Ovis aries: one gene and its partners. The protein of the gene in region 3 binds, or shares a complex with, the protein of the main gene of each other region. Links are inferred from orthologs where the notes say so. Each region holds a gene or a part of one and is shown on either strand. Other genes may lie near its edges.

The links.
Region 1: CTNND1 (region 3) and CTNNA1 share a complex: the UniProt entries of both Homo sapiens proteins name them as parts of the cadherin:catenin adhesion complex. The link is inferred for Ovis aries from reciprocal best matches to the Homo sapiens genes CTNND1 and CTNNA1.
Region 2: CTNND1 (region 3) and CDH26 share a complex: the UniProt entries of both Homo sapiens proteins name them as parts of the cadherin:catenin adhesion complex. The link is inferred for Ovis aries from reciprocal best matches to the Homo sapiens genes CTNND1 and CDH26.

The regions. Positions count from the first base shown.
Region 1 is NC_056058.1:47,904,807-47,908,452, forward strand, and holds part of CTNNA1 (catenin alpha-1), read left to right. Parts: intron 1-679; coding exon 680-880; intron 881-1,391; coding exon 1,392-1,543; intron 1,544-3,646. UniProt on the Homo sapiens protein: Associates with the cytoplasmic domain of a variety of cadherins. The association of catenins to cadherins produces a complex which is linked to the actin filament network, and which seems to be of primary importance for cadherins cell-adhesion properties.
Region 2 is NC_056066.1:56,277,816-56,281,905, forward strand, and holds the start of CDH26 (cadherin-like protein 26), read right to left. Parts: upstream 2,901-4,090; 5' UTR 2,803-2,900; coding exon 2,716-2,802; intron 1-2,715. UniProt on the Homo sapiens protein: Cadherins are calcium-dependent cell adhesion proteins. They preferentially interact with themselves in a homophilic manner in connecting cells; cadherins may thus contribute to the sorting of heterogeneous cell types.
Region 3 is NC_056068.1:79,803,780-79,807,425, reverse strand, and holds part of CTNND1 (catenin delta-1), read right to left. Parts: intron 2,725-3,646; coding exon 2,653-2,724; intron 1,923-2,652; coding exon 1,770-1,922; intron 1,367-1,769; coding exon 831-1,366; intron 1-830. UniProt on the Homo sapiens protein: Key regulator of cell-cell adhesion that associates with and regulates the cell adhesion properties of both C-, E- and N-cadherins, being critical for their surface stability.

The DNA of each region.
Region 1 (3,646 bases), on a different chromosome or scaffold from region 3:
GAGAACATTCCCTTTCCCATTCTGGGTCAGCCCCTGCAGATCTTCATCCATTTCAGTGGCTGCCCAGTGCCCATAATTTATTACTCTGTTCTGGGACATTTTGGTTGCTCCTACTTTGCTATTATAGATGAGGTTAACGTGAACTCCTCATTCTGGGGTTCCCAATACCCAGGGTCAAGCTTTGTCTTTGAGGAAAAACAGTTCTGGTAGATCTTCCAAATCCAACTCCACGAGGCTTTTGCCTGCCTTCCAGGCTCTTCTCATGTTCCAGAGTTGTCCTGATGTCTTGGTCGTTTGTCTGAATACCACTGGCATCTCCTGGAGCGAGGGGCAAGGGACTGGGAATAGTGAACCTTGTCTTCTAATTTAGACTTTGGGATATAAAATCAATGAAATTGTTTAAGGGAAAGAAATTATCAAGGATTCTGAAAGATGGGCGTCTCTGCCTGTCTCTTCTAAACCTGGAATAAAGATGGTTATTCTTGGGGTGATTGCAGGTCCAGTTTCCAGGCAGTTGATCCCTGGGTAGTCTGGTCTCTTGAGTGAATGATGTGCAAAGCTTTTGGCACTGTAGCTGGCACGCAGTGAGCACTGGATGAGTGACAGATGCCAGCTTAAAATCGTCCACTTCTGGTGGGAGGCCTCCTCCCTCATTCAGCTGTTTTTGTTTGTTCCTCAGAGAATCACATTTTGGAAGACGTGAACAAATGTGTCATTGCTCTCCAAGAGAAAGATGTGGATGGGCTAGACCGCACAGCTGGTGCAATTCGAGGCCGGGCTGCCCGGGTCATTCATGTTGTCACCTCAGAGATGGACAACTATGAACCAGGAGTCTACACAGAGAAGGTGCTGGAAGCAACCAAGCTGCTCTCCAACACAGGTGCGGGACCCCTCCCTCACCTGTGCTCCTCACACACAGATGGCCCTCTGGTTAGGAAGTAGGACACTGGGGCTCAGTTTGGTTTTCGGACAAGAGTTCTGGAAGGTACATCGGATTTATGAGTCATTGGTCAGCCACAGTAAGACCACACAAACACGTTTCCCTTACTTGTGTCCCACAGGTAGTAATGGGAGTCGTTCTGAACTCTGAACTTCTGAGTTATATCTCTAGTTAGTGAACACACTAAATTAAGGAGAGTCCCATTCTAGTAAGGCCTCTAGTTAATCCCAATTCAAATTCTCAGCCATCTAAATCCTGTGTTCCAGAATCTGGCCAGAGACAAAGAAGAGGATTCAAGTCTTTGTAAAATATGGCATTTAATTTATTTGAACTATAAATACCTCTCACATAGGTAGAAGCAGAGGCTCTTCATCATACACTCTGCCTCTCTGCATCTGACTGAGGGATTTAGGAGGGCTGGTGGTGATGTTATCATCTCTCTTCTCCGCAGTCATGCCACGTTTTACTGAGCAAGTGGAAGCGGCTGTGGAAGCCCTCAGCTCAGACCCTGCCCAGCCCATGGATGAAAACGAGTTTATTGATGCCTCCCGCCTGGTGTACGATGGCATCCGGGACATCAGGAAAGCGGTGTTGATGATAAGGGTGAGTAACTGCATTTCAGATGTTTTAACAGCTTCCTTCTTATCATTTGCTAAACTTGAGCAATGCATCATTCTGGAACTCAACAGATGTGTTGGCAATATATTAAAACCATGAATCTAAGGGCTGTTAGGAAGAGATATGTTTAATTACATTGTTTAAAATGACTTTTAGTTGCAAGTTAGAGCCCAAACTTGGGCTGAGAAAAGGGGACCTAGTATGAATTGAGGCTTCCTCTTGAGTTAAAGGGCAGTGATAGAAAATAAAGGCTCCTCAGTGAATTTCAGAGAAGGGAATATTTCCTTTATTCAGGTTGAAACTGTTCTTTACATGGAGCACTCCTCACCTCAGAGGGGTGGCAGGCAGGCAGGGTACTAGAGCCCAAGGGTATTGAGGGGAAGGATGAGGGGCTGTGCAGCCCTTGGTGATGCTCCTGATCTCTAGGGCCAAGTGTCGAGCCCTCTCACCGTGGCTGAAGGGAAGTGCCACCTGCTCTGGGCCCCGTTTGACCCGTCCTCTCTGAGCCAGAGGCAGTTCTCAGCGTCTGAGGCAGTGTCTGGGGTCCCCTGGGCATGAACAGTAGGGTTTTGAGAAACCACCTCCTCCGTGATCATCCCGTGTCTTAGGCTGGGACTCACATAGCAGTTGATGCCTCACACGCTGTTTTGAACATGAATGTGTTGCTCTGGAAGTGGAGAGCAGGACCTGTGCCAAGCTCTCCCGGAGTCACCCCCAGGCTCGGGCCAGCCCTGCCGTAGCCACAGAGCCAGCATTTGGAAGGCAGGCCTGCTGAGTAGACGGCTGCTGGCCTCTGCTGACAGTCTAGTCTTGTCGGGAAGCTTCCGTTACACCTTCATGGTTTGCTAGTCCGACCGCCCAAGGCGGACGGGGTTCTGTCCCCCTTTTTACCCCCTCAGCTGGAAACAGAAGCCATTTCTAAGGTAGTTGCATCAGGCTGGATACATTCTGTATGCAACGTAGCAACATTTGGGCATTACTGCACTTCTCTCAGGGGTAAGGAGCAACAAGAATGGCTCAAGGACTGTATGGCTGGCTGCTGGGTGTTCCTGCAGGCCCGGGTCACCTGCACATACTGGGGGTTGGGAGGGGATCTGGGGGAGCCTGTTGCTTTGTTCACCCCTGCTGCTGTGCTGGAGAGCAGCCCATGCTCAGGGAGGCCTGGCCCCCAGAGGTGCGAAGGGGTCCCTGGGTCAAGCGCACCAGTGATGGCAAAACGCAGCCCTGTTTTTCCAAAGTTCTTTGCATGCGGACAGAGAATAGAAGAAACATTAATAATCATGAGTTGCTGAGTGTCTGAGGTTAATGCCTTTGGGGTTTTAAATGAGCTGGCACTGCACACACCCCAGGATACCTGCACATCCAGGGCCTGTTCTGTGGAAGCAGGGTTCCTCCTCACATCTGAGACTCTCAGCAAGTTCCCGCATCTCTCTAAGATGCAGATGATGGTGTTGGTAGCTTGATGGGATGAACTGGAGGTCAGGTCAGGGCCTGGCATGTAGTAGCTGTTTCTTGTGTGCTTACTGCTGTGTGGGATCGTAAGTACAAGAGGCCCTGGCAGGTGTGGTGAGATGGAACCTGGGTGTGGTCACCTGGGAGGGCTCAGGGAGCAAGGACGGGTAGGTCTGCAGCAGCCTTGGTTTAGTTCCTCCTTTTTGTCTTGATTTAATTCAGGAACCATCCTTCCAACCCAGGGCCTCTTGGTTTCTTGATGCCTTGTAGTTAGCCTCTTTTGCCTGGTCCTTGTCATAACCAGCATCCCCATCATCCCTTCCGTCAGCTGCTCCCTTTGGTTCTGTGACTTCCAACAATGCTTTGAGTCCATCAGGATATTCAGCCGGTTGGTCCTCCCCACTTGCAACCCTCCCTCAGCCTCTTGGGTCCTTGTCTCACTCCTATTCCAGCTTCTGTTTCATCAGTACAATCTATTTTGCACCCTTTTACTCCCCTTATTTGCCTTTCAAAATACAGCCCTAGTGAAATTCTGTCTTCTGCTGAACATGGTGCATAAAAGTACAGTCATCTGACTGGGGTCACTGGACCCAGGATGTCAGGGGACTGCTGGTGCTACACAGTCTGGGAACACTT
Region 2 (4,090 bases), on a different chromosome or scaffold from region 3:
GGGCAGATCATACAGGCTAACATACTTTTTAACAATAACTCAACTCAGAATTTCCCAGATTAATAGCAACAACAACCTACCAACCATAACAGACATTGTTGACTAACTTCATTCTCAAACCCTCCCTCCTCTCAGGTTCTAGAAGCTGCCCCAGCCCAAAGCCGAGGGTGTGCAAGCTCTCAGGGCTGGAAATGGCAAAGAGGGGGATAGGACCCTGCTTCTGCGGCTTGTCGTGGGATTTGGAACAAAGACCCGCAGCAGAGTTGCAACTTTGTTCTTTGCTTCATGTCAGGATGACAACGTGAAGGTGGAGATTTGGGGAGAACACTGTTGTAGATATCTCAGCTCTTCAGCAGAATGGGTACCAGTTTTAAATCTGGAGGTCAAGGGAGGGGTAGTGGGTGCCTTATTTGCATATCATCAGTGGTTAAAAGTCAGCGTAGGTGGGAGAAGATAGGGGCTGAAAGGAATAGGTTACTTATAGCCAATTCAGCAAAAAATTGGGCACCTCTTGGACACAAAGGTCTTCTCCAATTGAGGGTCCAGAGTACAGATTGCTCAAAACCACGGAACACTTGTTTATCCCATTATCTCCCTTGGCCTTGATCCCCGGAATCTATATATAGTTGCTTCCACCAAACACTGAATTGCTACCCACAGTCCAGCCCTGCTGCCCACTGCCCACCCCACCCACCACACCCTCAGTCATGAATTAACCTGCCTGGGCTCTGTGCTAACACGCAGAAATGAGAAACAGACAGCTCTGTTTTCTCTTGAGTTCAGTTAGGGGTAGGAGCAAGAGTAAGAGAAAGATGGGAACAAGGTTTGATTTGTGACATATCCAAATCCAGGCTAATGTGGGCTACTAAAACAGAGTTCTACTAGGAGCGGTCAGAAAGAAAAAAACAAATGTCATATATTATGCATGTATGTGGAATCTAGAAAAATGGTACAGATGAACCTATTTGCAAAGCAGAGATAGAGACAGAGACACAGTGAACAAATGTATGGACACCAAGGGGAGGAGTGTGAGGTGGGATGAACTGGGAGACTGGGGTTGCCATCCACACACTACTACTACTGCCGTCGCTTCAGTCGTGGCCGACTCTGTGCGGCCCCATAGACGGCAGCCCACCAGGCTCCCCCGTCCCTGGGACTCTCCAGGCAAGAACACGGGAGTGGGTTGCCATTTCCTTCCCCAATGCATGAAAGTGAAAAGTGAAAGTCGTGCCCTTAGTGACTCTTAGTGACCCCATGGACTGCAGCCCACCAGGCTCCTCCGTCCATGGGATTTTCCAGGCAAGAGTACTGGAGTGGGGTGCCACTGCCTTCTCCTACTATGTATAAAATAGATAATTAATGAGAACTTACTGGGTGGCACAGAGAACTCTGCTCAGTGCTCAGTGGTGACCTGAACAGGAATGAAATGCCCCCCTAAATGTATACATTTAGCTCTTTCTCTTTGCCATATAGCAGAAAGTAGCAACACTGTAAAGCAACTATACTCCAATTAAAACTTTTTTCAAAGTAGCCAAGAAAAATTTCTGAACATTAAGCAAAGGGTGGCGAACAGGGCATCGAATTTCAGAAGCAGAGCTGGCCAGACAACTAGGGACTTTTTGTTTCCTCTTCTGTTTACAGTAATACCCAGCACTTATGAAAGCACCTGGCCCGGAACGAGTGGCCCACCAACAGTAGCAGCCCAGGCACTGAGTGAAGAGAATAACCATCCTGTCAGGGCACGGAGAACAGCAAGAAAAGATCCTCTGCATTTCCTCATTGACTCCCACAGCCACCCAGGTCAAGTAAGTGCCTGCAGTAGCTCCATTTTCAGATGGAGGCAATGAGGCTTAACAAGATGAAGGTAGAGCCTTGAAAACCCAGATGCCTAGGCCGCATCCCCAGATCAGCTCTGCTGAATCCAGGGGTGAGTGGCCTCTGGGCACTGGGACTCTCGCAGCATCTGAGAAGAGTCAAGCTTGAACCAAGGTGAGGACCGAGGCCAAGCAACAGCCCAGGTGCCAAGCCAGGTTACGATGCAGTGCAGATCCACCATCCTGACCCCCACCCACTGCAGGGCCTCCTGCCTCTGCCCTGGCCGGGTTTATAAGGGAGAACCCAGGAGCAGTGCCAGAGCCCCATGGCTCTCCCTCTCTGTCTGAGGAAAGCGGGCTGAGCAGAGCGGCCATGCCCCACAGGCAGATGCAGCCTAAACTCTGTCCACGGTAAGTACAAGCAACAAGCCCAGACATTTCCGTCTTGATTCTACTGTTTGTTTCCGAGTTGAGCCATGGCAACTGGTGAGGGGCAGAGGGTGGGGAGGCAGGGGGATTTAGCCCTCCCACCCCCATGGGTTTGCTCAAACCCTCTTCGACATACACAATTGAGATTTTTTCAGTCTTATGTAAAGTGAAAAGAAATGTCCTTAGGAAACGCATTGATACAAATCTAAACGTATGTATCCTATATAAACCAGTCTTAGCCTGTTCCCACTACTCTGCCAAATCCCTCCTTGGTGTTAATTCTGGAACCCCTCTTCTTTCCCTAAAGAAAGTACTAAAGCTCCCAACCCCCCCACCCCCGCCCGCAGCTGCAGGGCATCACACTCAGCCCCGTTCCCCCACCCTTGAACAGGCAGAGCCAGCTGGAGCTGTGCGGTCAGCTCCCGGTCCCCAGCAGGTAAACCCCACGTTGTGGGTACCAGTCCCTGCTCACCAGCATCAGGAACGCGAGGAGCAGCAGCAGCGCGGGGTGAACCCTGCAGCGCATGCCGCCTGGTGAGCACCCACAGCCCACGGGCATGGCAAGTCCTCCTGGCTGTGGGCCCGTCCTTCCCAGCAGGCTCTCTTCTCCTATCACCGTCTGGTCACCTTGTCACAGACACTCTCTCAACTCTTCCCGTCCCTGCTCCCGAGCATTCTTGTATTTATCAGGGGTGGGATGGGAGGCTGAGGCTTAGCCTTTGGCCTCATTAACCACAGGCAGAATTCTCAGGAAGGGAGTGGAGGAAATAAAACTGCCCCAGCGATACGCACAGCAGGCGTCTGACCCCAGGAGACCAGGGCTCAGTCAGAGGAGGGTGAAGCCAGTATCTATGGGGAAATAGGGGTTTGGTTTCTTTGTTTTTGGTTCCAAAATCAGTGGAATGCCTACTGATCTCTTCCTTGTAGCAGAGTATTTTAATGCTCATTTCCTTATAGGCTCTATTGCTTGAAATCAAAGAACTGGAAAAGGACTCCAAAAAAGAATAACTTTATTAAGAGACGAAAAAAAAGAGAAAAGTATAATTTTACCTTCCAAAGCATTAACCATCTTTATCCCAATCATTTCTTGAAGTTCTGGGGTTCATAGACTTCACCAAAATCTCCTTTACGTTTAGATGAACCTGCCTTTTTGATTCTGAGATGAAAGAAAGAGGGAGGAGGGATGGGAAAGAGGCTCCCTGTGGGAGGGTCTCTGTACCGACCTGGGGCCTTTACATTAGGATTCTGGAAAAAAGACAAGTTGAGGTTCTAACATACCAATACTTCAGGCTGCAATGAACAAGTGGAAAACAAGATCTAACACTCATTAGTCCCCATTACCTTAACGTATTACCTGTGATCACATCACCTTGTTGAAAACACTAAACAGTTCTTCAAGAGGTGAAATAAAAGATAATATTTACCTTGTCTTAATGTATTTTCATGGCTCTGTGACAGGTTGCTGTACTTTTTAATTTGAATTGTTTATAATCTGAATCCAAGTTGTTTGTTACTAAAAGGAGTAAGTAATGCAATTTTTAAACCTTTCTATATTTCCTGTACATAGAGTGGGGAGGAGAGTGGGAGGAGTGTTCAGGACACATGTATACCTATGGCCAATTCATACTGATGTACGGCAGAACCCATCACAATATTGTAATTATCCATCCTCCAATTAAAATAAAGAAATAATTTTTTTAAAGAAGCAGAATAATAATGATCAAATTTACAACTTTGAATAAATAAATCTTCATTTACTTTCAAGATGGATATTTTTATTCCATGTAAATCTATTGGCCACCTGATGCGAAGGGCTGATTCATTTGGAAAGACCCTGATGCTGGGAA
Region 3 (3,646 bases):
TACCTTTAGGCGGTTCGGACCGTAAAGAATCTGCCTACAGGGCAGGAGACCTGTTTCGAGCCCTGAGTTGGGAAGATTCCGCTGGAGAAGGAAATGGCAACCCACTCCAGCATTCTCACCTGGAGAATTCCATGGACAGAAGAGCCTGGCGGGCTGCAGTCCACGGAGTCGGCAGACACGACTGAGCACTAACACTTTCACTTTCAACTGGCTAGTCGGCTCCTGAAAGCCTAAAATCCTTAACCTTGTTCTTAACACCAAACAAGTGGAAGAAATTCACAAGAACAAGTATGCTATAGCTTCAGATATCAGGTTCCAAATGGGGCGTCAAATCTTAGGCAGAAAATAAATAAACTCTTGACACAGAACCAAAGGCCTCTCCTCAGGACACAGACCAATTAACTGTCACAGGTTGTTTTCTATAATTAGAATACATGGTATTTATAATGAAAAAAGGAGACCAAAAAAACCAGGTGAGGATTTAGCAAGATCAGAAGAGGGACGATGAGGCCGGTCTCCTACAGACGCGGGCGGGGGAGGGGCCCGATGCCGCCCCCGCGGGGAGGAGCCGCCCCCGCGGGGAGGAGCCGCCCCCGCGGGGAGGAGCCGCCCCCGCGGGGAGGAGCCGCCCCCGCGGGGAGGAGCCGCCCCCGCGGGGAGGAGCCGCCCCCGCGGGGAGGAGCCGCCCCCGCGGGGAGGAGCCGCCCCCGCGGGGAGGAGCCGCCCCCGCGGGGAGGAGCCGCCCCCGCGGGGAGGAGCCGCCCCCGCGGGGAGGAGGAGCCGCCCGCCCACCGCCCGCCAGGCGCCTCGCCGCCCTCCTCCCTGCCCACCTGAGGCGCCGCCGCGGGTCAGAGGGCGTCCCTGTCCGCCGGCCCGTGCCGTAATCAGACATCATGCCGTAATCCACGTCATCATAGCCCATGCTTCGCTGGTCGTCCTCCAGCCCGTAGGGCTCCGGATGAAAGCGGTGCAGATCCACGCTGCTCCCGCCCACCCGGACCTGGGGCTGCGGCCCGTAGACGTCCTGCCGGCTGGGCGCCCGGTAGCCTTCCATGCTGGGCCTGTACCGCTCCTCGATGCGGGTCACCCGCGACAGGCTGCCGTAGTTGTCGCCGCTCCCGGGATACCCGTCCTCATAGTGGCGGCTGTATCCGTCAGGCGGGTAGTGGAAGTTCCTGGGGAGGGTGGCCGTGCCTGCTTGCCCCACGTAGGGACCAGGGCCCCCGTTGCCGTTCTTGCGGAAGTCACGGCCCAGAGTCTGGATGTAGCTGTTCGACACCGATGAGGCGTCTACAGGCAGCCCGTCGGGCCCCATAGGGACTGGCTGCACCGTCCGAGTCGTCACAGTCTTCACCACTTTCTTGACCTTTGAGTAAGGAAAGAAAAAAGGAACATTAATGACACGAACAAATTAAGCTTAGACTCCAGACCCCTCTAAGAAATAACCCTCTGCTCCCAGCTTGCTTTCCCTGGAAATGCCGAGCAATCGCACCGTCTCCCCTTCGGTCTTCCGGGAAGTCTGCAGGGAACAAACCCGCACTGGCAGTCACAGTGCCTCAAGGAAAGCTGCCGAGACTCTTCCTCATTCCATCAGGTTTTCTCATATCTCTTCTAGCTTCCCCGTCCAGCCAGGGCGCCCTTTCTCTACACCTTCACTACAGATCACGGGCCCTTCCGCCAGCCTAGTGAACTGCCCAGCCCTTCCCCTCAATAAAGGCCACAGGAGGACGTCCACCGTCACCCCAGACCTTACGCAAGTCTCAGCTTACTGTGGTCTCTGTGCGCCGAGTGGTTCCATCGTCTGAGGTCTCCACAGAGACCACAGACATGGCGCCCTCGGGGTCCTCTTCCGTGTAGCTCTCCACAATCTGCCCCGGCTCCTGCATCCTGGGGATAGTGCTGTATAGAAGGTGGCTGTGATCCTACACGGAAGAGAGAAAAAGGAAAGAGCCACTCCTAAGCCATATACACTAACGATCCCTCCCAACAAGCAGCACAGTCTCCCTGAGGACAACGCATCTTCTGAATTTTTAGGAGTGACTGTTCCCACTTTCCCAACTTGTACAAAAGGGCAGAAGACATAAGTTCCCAGTCCCATTCACTTAACAAACAGGGACTGAGTTAACTATAGCTACATCAACAACGCCCTAGTGGCAGAGACAGCAGATATACCGCCCCAGTTCTAGTCATCTAAGTGAACATGAACTGTGTAAAAAACAGCTATATCTGTATCTGAGTAAGCCTTCAAATAAAACAAAGTTTACCCAATAAGAACCTTTAAGATGAACCAGAAAACCTCAGTAAGAGCTATCTTCTGAATGGCTCAGTGTTATTTTTCAGATATGCCTAAGGCTCAAGAGCAGCTAGATTTTAGGGAGGGATTTCTGCAAAGTAGAACCATGCCCACTCTAGAAAAGGGATGCAGTAATTGAGGGATCAAACACTAAATCAATGGCCAGCGTAATTAAGCCCAGAATAAAACCATAGATATACTTTGAAGCTCCCCTTTTTTCCATTTTCTTCCACTAAATGGAACTAATTAATGACAGTTTACAACGTGCCAGGTAATTTAGAAGACACCAATATGCTCTCAAGCTAGGAAAGTAAAAAAGATATGAGCAAACAACCCAGACCTTGAACCAAAAGAGGTACCTGGGGTCCGTTGAGGTTTAGATCTGAAAATTTCTGTCGCTCAAGGTCAGCATCGCCCACAAAGCGGCCGTTCTGAAACAGAGCCCACAGGAAGACAGTTCGATTCGCGGCCTTCTTCTGCTCTATCAAACACAAATGACCTTTTTCCAAACAGGAAAAGGGCTTTCAAGAAGGCATGTGTGGCCTAGAGTCAGTACAGATAAAAGAACCACATCACGCCTTAGACTCAGCACCTCAGACCCGCAACTGGGCCTGGAGCTCGGGCGGCCCGTCCCTGAAGCCTGAGACTGCGAGGGCTCTGAGGGCAGAGGTGCTCGCATGCTTTGGTCAGCTCTGTTCAGCGCCTCCCTAGCGCCCTCAACAGTGCCTGCACATCCGAGGCACTCAAAACTCTTCTGAATAAGGTAAGTTCCCCATGAAATCTGTTTGGAAAGCCATAAGAACATAGGAAAGTTGGAAAAGCTAGGGTGTGGGGTTTCCAAAAGCCTTTAGTGTTTCATGCATCTTCACACTCTATAACCTTGGGAAACTCCCACACCAGGCAGCTTTATAAAGAAAGAAGCAAGAGATAAGAGTTCCTCTTTCCAAGCAGGAAGAAAATAAGCATCTCAACCCCCTTTAAGCAAACAAATGTCTCAATATCTTCATCACCAATTATAAGATCCACAGAACACATTCAAAAATGTCGTTAAGTTGCTCCATCTGAAGCAGCAGGGTTAGGGTTAGGGTTAGGAATAATCTCATGGCCTTATACTATGTAAAACACATTTGACCACTCCCCTTCAGAAAGCATGCACTGAGATTCGGCCACCTTGAGAGACTCTTCCCTACCCTACTCCCATTACGTAGGACGTGTAATGCTGTAGGCAAAGGAAGTTAAACATTATTTTCAGGAAGAAGGAAGGGTGTGGTTTCACTGCTGAGCAGAAGTTAAAAATAAAAGAGAGAGACTCCATGTAGTAAATCCTGGAATTCCCCACCACCTCCAAGGCTG